Nothobranchius furzeri: one gene and its partner. The protein of the gene in region 1 purifies or fractionates together with the protein of each later gene. This does not show direct contact. Links are inferred from orthologs where the notes say so. Each region holds a gene or a part of one and is shown on either strand. Other genes may lie near its edges.

Region 1 (5,649 bases):
TCCCATCATTCCCACATTACCAAGCACACGCTGCACAGCTGCAGCTCCCGAGTCAAAGCTTCACAGAATGTAAGCTTGCATGCCTTTTGCACCTCCGGCACCACCTGGTTTCTACCCCGTTCATCCAACTGTAGCACGTTACTGATTGTAGCACTCACCATTTCCAAGATTTTAAGCATTTTTAAAATTTCTTTTCCACACTAAGATGGATCCTCAGGTGTAAGTCCTACTACACCGCCATCGAGCTCAGCTCCACGTTCCGTCAGGCTCCTGAGGCGCTCGTAGCTCCCGTAACATCCTGTCCATCTCTAGTCCGTGAGCAGAGTTTGATGCTGTTGAGCAGCGACCCGTCTCTGTCCCTCCACAGGGACAGCGTTTACTGCTTCCACGTGTCGCATACAGTTATCTAGTGTTCTGTATATATAAAGAGAAAATTTTAAAAAATGCATGACTTTAAAAAAGAAAAAAATCTATGCAAGTGTTGCATGAAATCTGATCGTTTCTTTTTCCAGTTAAGTATTTTAGTAAAATGCGTTTGGTTCGGACTCTCCTCGTCGTCTTGTAGTGATGGTCGTGTCTTTGGGGCGACTCGCAACACGATTACTGAACATTTATTTCTCCAAAGCCCCGAGCGCTGAGGATGCCCCTAAAAGTATTCCCAGGGTGGATTTTATTTCTAAACAACTGACTAGTTAGGGAGTTCTCACAGGCCTGCATGTCTCAGTTCAACAATTAGCTACTTTCATAACATTTTGCCAATTTGTTTATCAAAGTGGACCAACTTAGCAACTGATGACGCAGATAAGGATGTTCAATTTATCAAGCACAATTTCTACAAGGGTTATCATTTAATTTTCTTATTCTGTATGCAATATGAAGCCTAACATTAAAAAACAAAACAGACTAACGCCTTAGACCATCCGGACTTCCTCTATGTGAGTAGAAAAAAATTGCACTATTTTATTTTGTTTGGGGATGGGGTGGTTGCTTTGTAATGCAATAACTGCACTAAATCCAACCATGTATCCACCAGACTACCACAGCGTGCTAGCGTGGTCCGACACGCCTCTTCCCTGGATTTATCAAAAAGACAGAAAATGAGTAGAAAAGTGAGCCGTTTCCTGCCTGATGCTGTAAAGAATGCTTTCTATTTCAAAACCGATTTACAATGCTAAGTGAAATATGACTTCAACTAAATAAACAAGACATTTTATGTACTTTTAATGGTTTTGGTTCTTGTTTCATGGTGCACCTTTTATCCACTGCTTCTGAACGGTGGACTATAATGTTTTTGCCTGTCTCGACAACAGCTTCAACAAACAAGGTCATCTGAAGTGTGTTGTACGGATGTTTATATTTAAAAACGGTTACAGCATTTAACCAAGAGGAAAACCTGACTTCCCATCAGGTTTTGGTCTCACATCACAACACAAAACTCTGCAGCTACTTATTTCACGTTTATACACAGTTTTGCTCACTGGTCCAACTTCACCCTCTGCAAATGTGTTTTTCTGACCACAAATGGGACATAAATAACACAAAACCAGGTGAAAAAGTACCAAAGAGCACATTGTGCGACGGGAAAATAAACAGGAACATTTTTGTCTTGTGGTCAATGAACGAAGTAAAAAAATAACTGAAATCAAGCAAATATGGTCTCCTCGCGTCTCTTCTTGGTAAGGATGGTTCCAGGTTTGTGCTGCGCATCGGGGTGGTTGGTCAGCTCCGGAGGACAGGTGGACACCGGGCTCTCCAGGATTGCCTGCTTCAAGTCATAAAAGACAGCAGAGTCCTCCTTGGTGAGGAAAGTCATGGCCACACCGCTCTTGCCGGCACGACCAGTACGACCAATACGATGGATGTAATCTGTAGGAAGAGTCACATGATCAGATTATTATCCATGTTTGGAAACCAAGTGCCTGTTGAAACACAAGTGACAAAAAAGAAACAGTGACCTTCAATGTTCTTTGCCATGTCATAGTTGATGACCATGGAGACGTCCTGGATGTCGATACCTCGACCAGCAACATCTGTGGCCACCAGGATATCTTTGGCTCCTGCCTTGAGATTGGAGAGGGCAAACTCTCTCTGCTCCTGGCCTTTGCCACCATGCAGCGTGCACGCATTGTACTGAGAAGAAGAGAAGGCGAGGGTCAACACAGCTGTGAACAACACATAATGCATACAACACTACAGAACCAAACACTCATCAAAGCCACAAGTCGCAAAATGTTCATCCAGACAGGTATGCGTCTCTGACGGTCACTGAGCTGTGACCATCGGAGACCAGGAGATTGTTACATTTCCTCAGTCACAGAATCTCATCGTGTTGCTCAGTCAAGCAGAATGTTCCTCACAAGATGGACTTAAAGGGAGACTAGGCAGTCTTGGCTTGCTTGAAGCTGCACCATCTTGACTCAACGTTATACGTGTGACAGCCCCATCTAGTGGACAACTTTTGTTTCTACACATACCTGTGGTTATCGCCAATTTATCGTTATCGAGGTGAAATCCTCAATATATCGTGATATTGATTTTAGGCCATATCGCCCAGCCCTTCCTCACTGTGCATTCATCTTTTTAACACCTTAAGCTAAAAGCTGAAATGTCTCCCCAGCCTTCCTTAAGCTCTACAAGAGCGGATAATCACTAAATTAAACAAATCAGCTGTGTTCCTGATCCAAAATATGCAGGAAACGTGATGGAAGACTGCAGCGCCAGGTATGTCAGCTCCATTTTCTTCTAAATCAAACAGACCAGACCGGCACTCTGAAGTTGCAAATGCACAAAGGACAGTGGCATTTCCTTAACCTGGTAAAGGGTTATTTTAGCGCATACTGGCTCATGAAAATGATATTCAAAATATGAAAAAGTCACAAAGTATCCGTTTAAGATACTTTGTGACAAAAGCTTCATTTATACTTCATCAGCCGTGCGCAAGAGACGCACACGCATTGAAAGAGGCGTTTAGCTCTTGGACTTCTCCGTCAGCTGGGGATTGTTGCATAATAATTCCCCGCCAAGACAAGAGAGGGCGTAGCGCCGATCTGAGGTTTCCTGCCACCATCACAGTCAAGTATCTGGTCCACAATAGTGTGTTTACTAATGTGTTTACATTGTTTTCATGTATTTCAGAGACTTTTGAACACAAACAAATTTGTCTCCCATTCTCCACCTCTTTCTGCGATCGGCACCTCTAAACTCACGTTCGTCATTTCCGACCATGAATAAAACGCTTGTGCATATCTTTGTACTCCTTCAGTCGCGGGTGAATAAACCTTCATATAGACTGTTTTCCACAATGCCTTCTTAAATCCATGTCTGCCGCTAAATATCGTTTTACTTTTTGAGGGGGCGAAGGCGGCGCTCTTGACTAAATTACAGGAATCAGCATCCTGACCAGTCACAAGCTTGCAGTCTCTGTTAAGTGAACACGTCTCCGTCACCCTCTGTGAGCCCGTCGGAGAACTCTTGCAATGATGCATAAAGGTGTGGCGTGTTTCCGCACCGACGCAGACGAATAAGTGTAAATGAAGCTTAAAGCGCAGCAAAAGTCCGTTAAGTCACTAAATTGTTGCAATATTTGCAGTTAAAAATGAAAACAACCAGCATTTTTCTGAATAGGTGTCAAATCTATTTCATAAGGTGAGATCCTGTTACACAGCCTCCTGATCCTTACCCCCATCTTCTCCAGAGATTTAGCCAGCACATCGCAGCCCTTCTTCTGGTTGACGAAGATGATGATGGGAGGCTCGAAGCCGCGCGACAAAACTTCCAGCAACTTCTTCCTGTGCGACACAAAAACAAAACTCGCTCAGCACGCCGGCACAGTTGAGATGTTTGCCGTGTTCCCGCCTGCAGCTCACCTCTTCTCTCCTTCTGACATCAGCAGCACCTTCTGTTCGACCCGCTCGTGAGGTTTTCCAGCTGATCCGATGTACACCACAGCAGGACGTCTCAGGTAGCTCCGGGCCAGTCGCTCCACAGCTGGAGGCATCGTAGCGGTGAACATGACCGTCTGAAAGGTTGGATAAATCACGGTTTGTTCACCAGAGAACACCTGGTACCTACAAGCGGTTCGCTCAAACACATACCTGTCTGTATTTGTGTTTCCCAGACTCAAAGTTCATCATCATCTTCTCAGGGTCCTCTGCTTCATCTGTGTCTGGTTTTTGATTGGTCACCGGGATGTACTCCAGGATCTTCTGGACGTCAGGCTCGAAGCCCATGTCGATCATACGGTCGGCCTCATCCAGGACTACGTAGGTGCAGCGGCCCAGAACCAAGTACCGGTTCTCCAGCACATCGATCAGACGACCGGGAGTGGCGATTACAATCTGTAGGCAGGAAAAAGAAACTAAATGAAATGGTAAAGTGAAGCCTAACTTCTCCGTCACCGGGGAGAGACACACGCGCACGGATGGGGACGTTGTGCTATCGGACTTCTCCGTCTCCTGGGGAGTGCAGCAAACAACTCCCCACCAGGACAGCAGAGGGCGCAGCGCTGTTCTGTGGTATCCTGTCATGCATCCAGTCCACATGGTGTGTTTATGTTGTATTTAAGAGACTTTTTAACAAATTTGTCACTCATCCTCCTCCGCCTCTTCATGCGCTCGCCACCTCTAAACCCACGTTTCCCGTGATTTCCGTCCACGAATAAAACGTTTGCTGCGTATCGTTTTACTCCTCCGGTCACGGGGGGATAAAACGTTTTTTGTTTTCGTTTTTTCCGCGATGTATTCTTCAAGCTTCTCCGTGTCTGCCGCGAGATATCTTGGCTCTCTTTGTTTTTGAGGGCGCAATGACGGCGCTGTAGATGGCGTCCTGACCAATCGCAAGCTTGCGCTCTCCGTCTCGACAGACGGATGTTTAGAAGAGAGAGCTCGACTCCGTCCGTTCTTGCGAGGGCTCTCCATCAGGCTCGCAAGGACGGATAATGGCGTTGCGTCCGTCCTGACGCAGACGGAGAAGTGTAAATTAGGATTAAGCTGCAAAACTCAAAAAGTATGAAATACTGAACGTTTGCTCTATTAATGCTCTACTAGAGATTTAAAGAATATTTTCACACAACTTCCAAACTGTCAGAATCAAAAAATTAAAGATAATCATCAACAACCAGGGCATCTACACTCATTCCTCTTAAAATTCCAGGTACTAGCTGAGTGGTTTTGGTTGTTCTCTGGAGCAGACGCATGTTACCCCCAAATTCCACTACCTCCGCTCCGGTCCGCCCCCGCCTTCCGCAGCCGCTCGCTTCCGAACTCAATTTTTACTGCTACCCGCTCTACAACGGCTCCGCTCCGGTGCGGAGACCTGAGGGGGGCAAACAAGCATGCGCGGGATTTTCGAGATCTTGCGATACAGTCCGAGCAATAAACGCGGAAGTTAGATCCAAACACCCGTTGTGTGGGAGAAGCATCGGCATGAACTGTTTAATCTGCCCATCATGTGTGTTGAGAGATCAGCAGTGTTTGGATCAACAAAGTGTGACTACTTTGATAGTGGAAACTGTATTTATGGCTTAATTTTGTGCATTTAAACTTCAGCCGCCATTGATAGTTGTTAAAAGTTGTTAAATCTGTGCATATGAAACAAAAAACGCCGTTTGTTTATCGATTTATTGTGAAAAACGGAAATTGTGCTTGCTCC
Region 2 (4,979 bases), on another chromosome or scaffold:
TCTGTCAGAAGCTAATGAAAGATAGATGTAGGAGACTATTTTCACGTTCACTCTGCACGACAAACTCAGAGTGAGCGATTATAATCAGGAACGATCATTAAAAATGCTTTTTCAGTGATCCGCACCTTTAAAAAGAAAGATAATCTAATATCAGTATGAATACTGACATCTACCTGATGTCTCTTAACTTATGTAAAAGCTAAAGTCTTACCTTCATCAAGTACATTTTCTCTGCCAACTAAAATACTGATCTGCAAACTAGCATTGGAGTTGAAGGCGAAACGTCATAAACATAGACCCATGATCATTTTGAAGAGGGGAAAACAAAATGAACAAAAAGGTGCAACAACAACTGTACCTGAAGGTGACGGAGGAATGGGGTAGAAGTGATGGAGAATCACTGAGGGGAGGTGAATGACAGACAGGGTTTGGGGGAATTACATCTTCATCCATATTCATCTGAAACATACACACACAGGAAAAAAATAGGACAACTGGTTGTGCATACAGTTTTGTCTTAACTTACTAAAATACTACAAGACCAAGACCTGATTCAGATAAAAAAGTAACCAGATTTTCAGAATGTTTGCTGAGAAATTATACTTTAGATTTTTTTAACTGGAAGCAAACTCAAAGGGAGAATTAGTGGCAACTTCAACTAGATTACAGTTAAGATTTTAATCAACAGTATTGAGGACAAAATCATTCATATGGATTTCAACAGAACAATGCGCAGTCAGTGTTAAGGGAGACAGTCATCGTGTTAAAACTTAGCCAAGAAAATAAGCTTTTGTGATTTTAACAACTGCAGTCCTTCCTCCAAAGTGGCACATATTAGACCCCCTCTCTAGGCTGCACCGTGTTAGCGCCAAAGTTGTTCAGCCGAAATCCTACAACCTTCACCAAGCCACGGGAAACACTCAATAATCACCTTATAATGTTACATCTAAATGAAATGCATAGCAGCTATTTGCTGCGAGGTTTTCAGATGCTGTCGGATCAAAACTGAGCGTAGTCTACTTACTGGAGAAATTTTTTTTATTTACCTTTATTGTGAGCCGCCGACAAAAAACAACAACAGACAAAAACCTAACCGTTAAAACTGTCCCAAATGTTGTCGTAGCTGACTTTCATCCGAACTCCGTCAGCTCTCCATGGCTGTATAGCCGACAGGGACACACAGTGTGGCAGTTTCTGTTCCAGTTAATAGTCGTAGCCCACAACTGTCATTTCTCTACACGTTCTTTGGTGCTTACGGGATTTGTGGGAATATTCTCGTTATGTAGCTTGCATGAACACGTTGACAGCAAATAAAAACCATTAGATAAACTCACCTAAAAGCTGTAACTGGACCGTGGGGGTGAAAGCCAAACCCGCCGTAAACAAAACATGACGAAAAGACGGCGCCCTACTGCGAGTAGAAAATGTATCCGTTTTTACAAATCTAACAATCAGCCCAGCCAATCACAGTTCAGGGTTGGTTTCCACTCGAAACGCCTCTTTGAAAGCTGACCAATCATGTTGCGTCTGTCAGGGTCGCTGGTTGAGGCCAGCCAATAGGAGCATCGGAAAAATTCACGAATTCTTGTATATCTAGCGTCATAAGCGAGTTTTTTTAATAACTTGACACACATTCAGGAAACGGTTTAACACATTTAAAACGCAATGTTGATAAAGCGGACACTATTCCTTTCATATCGCCTCTCTGATAACTTAAAAAAGCATAAAGCTCAAGCTTAAAACCATCTAAGGACGAATTTAAATTCACATTACGAAATTAATGTGCATATTTACTGGGGAATGGTTTATTTTGGTTATTAGGCATTTTCCAACTCTGCCTAAATACTGTAATAAAATTATTCCGACAGAAAATAACTTACATTGCCCTGATTTCCCTGTGCTCATGTTTTCTAACTTTAAATGTAAACACGTTATTAAGGGCAACAATAAAATGTAAAACTGCAGTGTATATGAATAATCAGCATTTACAAGCTGTGTCCTTGCTTCAGAAAAAGAAAGAATAGAATTTCAGCAATGATGCACACAAGCCTTTTATTTAAAAACTATCTGCAGAAAACAAAGGCAGGGCTAAAATGAATGGACCAATTCTCCTCCAAACCCTGGTGTATAAACAGAGAAAATCCAAGTAAAACATGAGTGGTGACAAAATTCAAGAGGGCTGTTTTTCATCTGATGGTGTACATAATTCATGTGAAGAGGTCAAAGTCTATTCTTCTGGAGTTGTAGAACTGAGATCCGTCCTGATCCACCCTCCTGCAGTAGACGCCGCTGCTAAAATAGCCTTCATCCACCCAGCCCTGAAAACACAGCAGTAAGAAAATAAAAGCCCACTAGGTCAGACTGGGGTTAATGAGACAACCAGTCAACAATTCAATTATTTAGATTAAATGATGGAATTATTGGTATTTTGAGGAGGGAAATAAATAAAATACATGTTTAAAACATTGCATTTAAATGTATGAGGTGTTATACTTATGTTTTCTTTTAAAATATAAATGTACAAGAAAAAATAAAAAATTAAAATCAGACTACTCACTGCCTAACCCCTAATTTCCACTGAATGCATAAGCGTCGCGTAACGTAATAGAAGCATTTGACCTCCAATCTCAGTCGCTTGTCCCTTCCTACTGGGAGCGTTTCAGAAATGAAACAGCGGCAAAAACATCACCAACAGCTGAACCCACGAGATCACGAAATCACCAGAGAACTGGAAGTTCACGCAGTAACAATGAAGAGGAAAGACGGCAGCATTTGTCTGAAAAAGACCTGTGGTTTGTTTTGTGTTGGGTTTACCTCGGCTACAGAGGCATCACAACTATTTTAAACAAGCAACTGGAAATCGGCACGTGTCTTTTATTATTTTTAAAGTGTCCAGATGTTTCCCAGTGCTCCTGTGTTTGTCCTGATCTGAATGGCTGAGACTGACATGTCATGAAAGCACAGCACGAAAGCACAGTGCTAACAAAAATAAGAATGGAAGCATAAATTTAACGGAGCAACGCGTCACTACGCTTCTGGGATGCCTCAAAAACGTTGGCGCTAAGCAGTCGGTGGAAACGCACCCACTGTGACGGCGGCTATTTGCTGTGTACTACACTTCGCGGACGTTGCAGGGTGCTTTGCAGACGTTATGTGATGCTAATGTGTCAGGTGGAAAAGCCCGGTAAGTGTTCTGAATTCCTCACAGACACACAAGAATCTACATTCGTAATAAAAAGGAAAACCCTCTTAATCCACATCAGTTTGGAAGTTGGGCATTTAACACGTCAGAGCTAAAATAGTAGTAATACCTGCATCTGCTGGCTGGTGAATGGCCCATAGACCTCAGATTTTTCCTCATTTTCCCATTTGTATTCCCACATCACTTCATCACTCACTGAGAAGAAAAAGGGGAATCGAGGTAAGTAACCTTCTTCTGAACTTAATCATTTATAAGCATGAAGGAAAGAACCTTGGTTGTCATCCTCTTCTTTCTCACCAATCTTCTCATCAAACTTATCACCAAACATGTCAAGCTCATCTTCTTCCTCATCGTCACTTTTCGTCTGCCTCACTGCTGGCTTCTTGCTGGTCATGCTTTTCATCACGTAGGCCAGTTTTTCATAGCTCTGCTGATAGATTTCAAACATCCCAGATCCAACCAGCCTGTCAGCTAAAGCTGTGAGCCTATCCAGCTTTTCCGTGTCTCTTGAAGCTTCCTCTGTGGACTGGTTTTCTTCTCTCAGCTTTCCCTTCTTGCGCCCTCCAAGGCCTCCTAACCGACGGAGCGCCGCGGCGACCGTTTCTCCAGGCTGCAGCAGTTCAACAACAGCTTCAACAAGCTGCTGTTGAGTGTAGGCAGCCAACGGGTCCTCTGCAGGCATCTCCTCCTCCTCTTCATCCTCCTGGTTTGCCTGCTGTTCTTCCCTTCGTTTCTCTTCCTCTGCCTCATCTTCATCACCGACTCTGCGTTTCCGTTTGGCTGCAAGACCTTTCTTTTTCTTAATAGGCTGCTCTTTTATTTTCACCTGCAAGAAAACAGATACTTCACTTACTGCAAAATGCAGAGCTTCCATTAAATAATCATTTGTCTGAGAATGCAATTACCCAGTCTATGTTGTCGAGCCAGTTGTCTCTAATTTGTGTTTCCTTTTTGATGAAATAGTTTCCCTCTGAATCAAAGTGGCCTTCCTGCATCTCCTCTTCCAGGTTGAAAGGTGTAATAGAAACTCCTTCGTCAAAGTCAATAGTCGCTCCTTCTTGGCCTGGAAACAAAGGTGGCACCACCCCAATTCACCACAAAAAGCATTTAACAAAAAACATTGCTTCACACAGCCTAAGGAAAACTGGACCCAGTTTACAACTTCAAAAGTATAATGGAAATACTTAACAAGACATACCCTCCACATCATCATTGTCAAGAATATTGTATTTGCTGTTGTTTGTGTCCTCTCCATCATCCTCTTCGTCACTGTCAAGGGAGTGTTTACCCTTAAACCTGGAGCCTGGTCCACTGACAGCCTCACAGCTCTGCAATTACAGCAAAAGAAAATGATGAACTAAATACAAAATAGCAGTATAACCAGTAAACGTAGAGTCAAAAGCAAAGTTCTGATCTTTGCATTAAAAGTAAAAATGCATTGTGTCTGAAGACAAACCCCTAAACCCATGGGTCAGTGCTGCGGCACAAGTACCACTATTACTACTTTTGCTGTAAAAAACAAAGGCATTAATGTGTCACTGGTTAAACAATTTGCTGAAAGTGATAGAAAAATAGAAAACTCAAAGATATGAGTGGTTAAAAAAATAAAGAGTCTTTAGTTCAAAAGGCAAACCACTCAGAATAAATAGGAAATGTACAATATTCTGAGAATTGTGGAAAACTGAAATGGAAGATTGTTAGTTACCATTCTTGTTGCTACTAAACTGTTTCAATAAAGTCTTTATAAGACATGCCAGCAGCAAAAAGTCTAAAATAG

What was found.
Region 2: the proteins of ddx23 (region 1) and cd2bp2 purify together in Homo sapiens (affinity purification with mass spectrometry; 6 studies listed by BioGRID and IntAct, counting the BioPlex papers as one, with this or other methods). This does not show direct contact. The link is inferred for Nothobranchius furzeri from reciprocal best matches to the Homo sapiens genes DDX23 and CD2BP2.

Annotation. Positions count from the first base shown.
Region 1 is NC_091755.1:54,903,424-54,909,072, reverse strand, and holds the end of ddx23 (probable ATP-dependent RNA helicase DDX23), read right to left. Parts: intron 4,338-5,649; coding exon 4,095-4,337; intron 4,019-4,094; coding exon 3,867-4,018; intron 3,789-3,866; coding exon 3,680-3,788; intron 2,131-3,679; coding exon 1,956-2,130; intron 1,867-1,955; coding exon 1,643-1,866; 3' UTR 1,198-1,642; downstream 1-1,197. UniProt on the Homo sapiens protein: Involved in pre-mRNA splicing and its phosphorylated form (by SRPK2) is required for spliceosomal B complex formation.
Region 2 is NC_091745.1:8,816,029-8,821,007, forward strand, and holds the end of cd2bp2 (CD2 antigen cytoplasmic tail-binding protein 2), read right to left. Parts: intron 4,531-4,979; coding exon 4,401-4,530; intron 4,266-4,400; coding exon 4,108-4,265; intron 4,029-4,107; coding exon 3,473-4,028; intron 3,398-3,472; coding exon 3,312-3,397; intron 2,319-3,311; coding exon 2,208-2,318; 3' UTR 2,036-2,207; downstream 1-2,035. Other genes in the region: prr14 (serine-rich adhesin for platelets), read right to left, coding at 359-459. UniProt on the Homo sapiens protein: Involved in pre-mRNA splicing as component of the U5 snRNP complex that is involved in spliceosome assembly.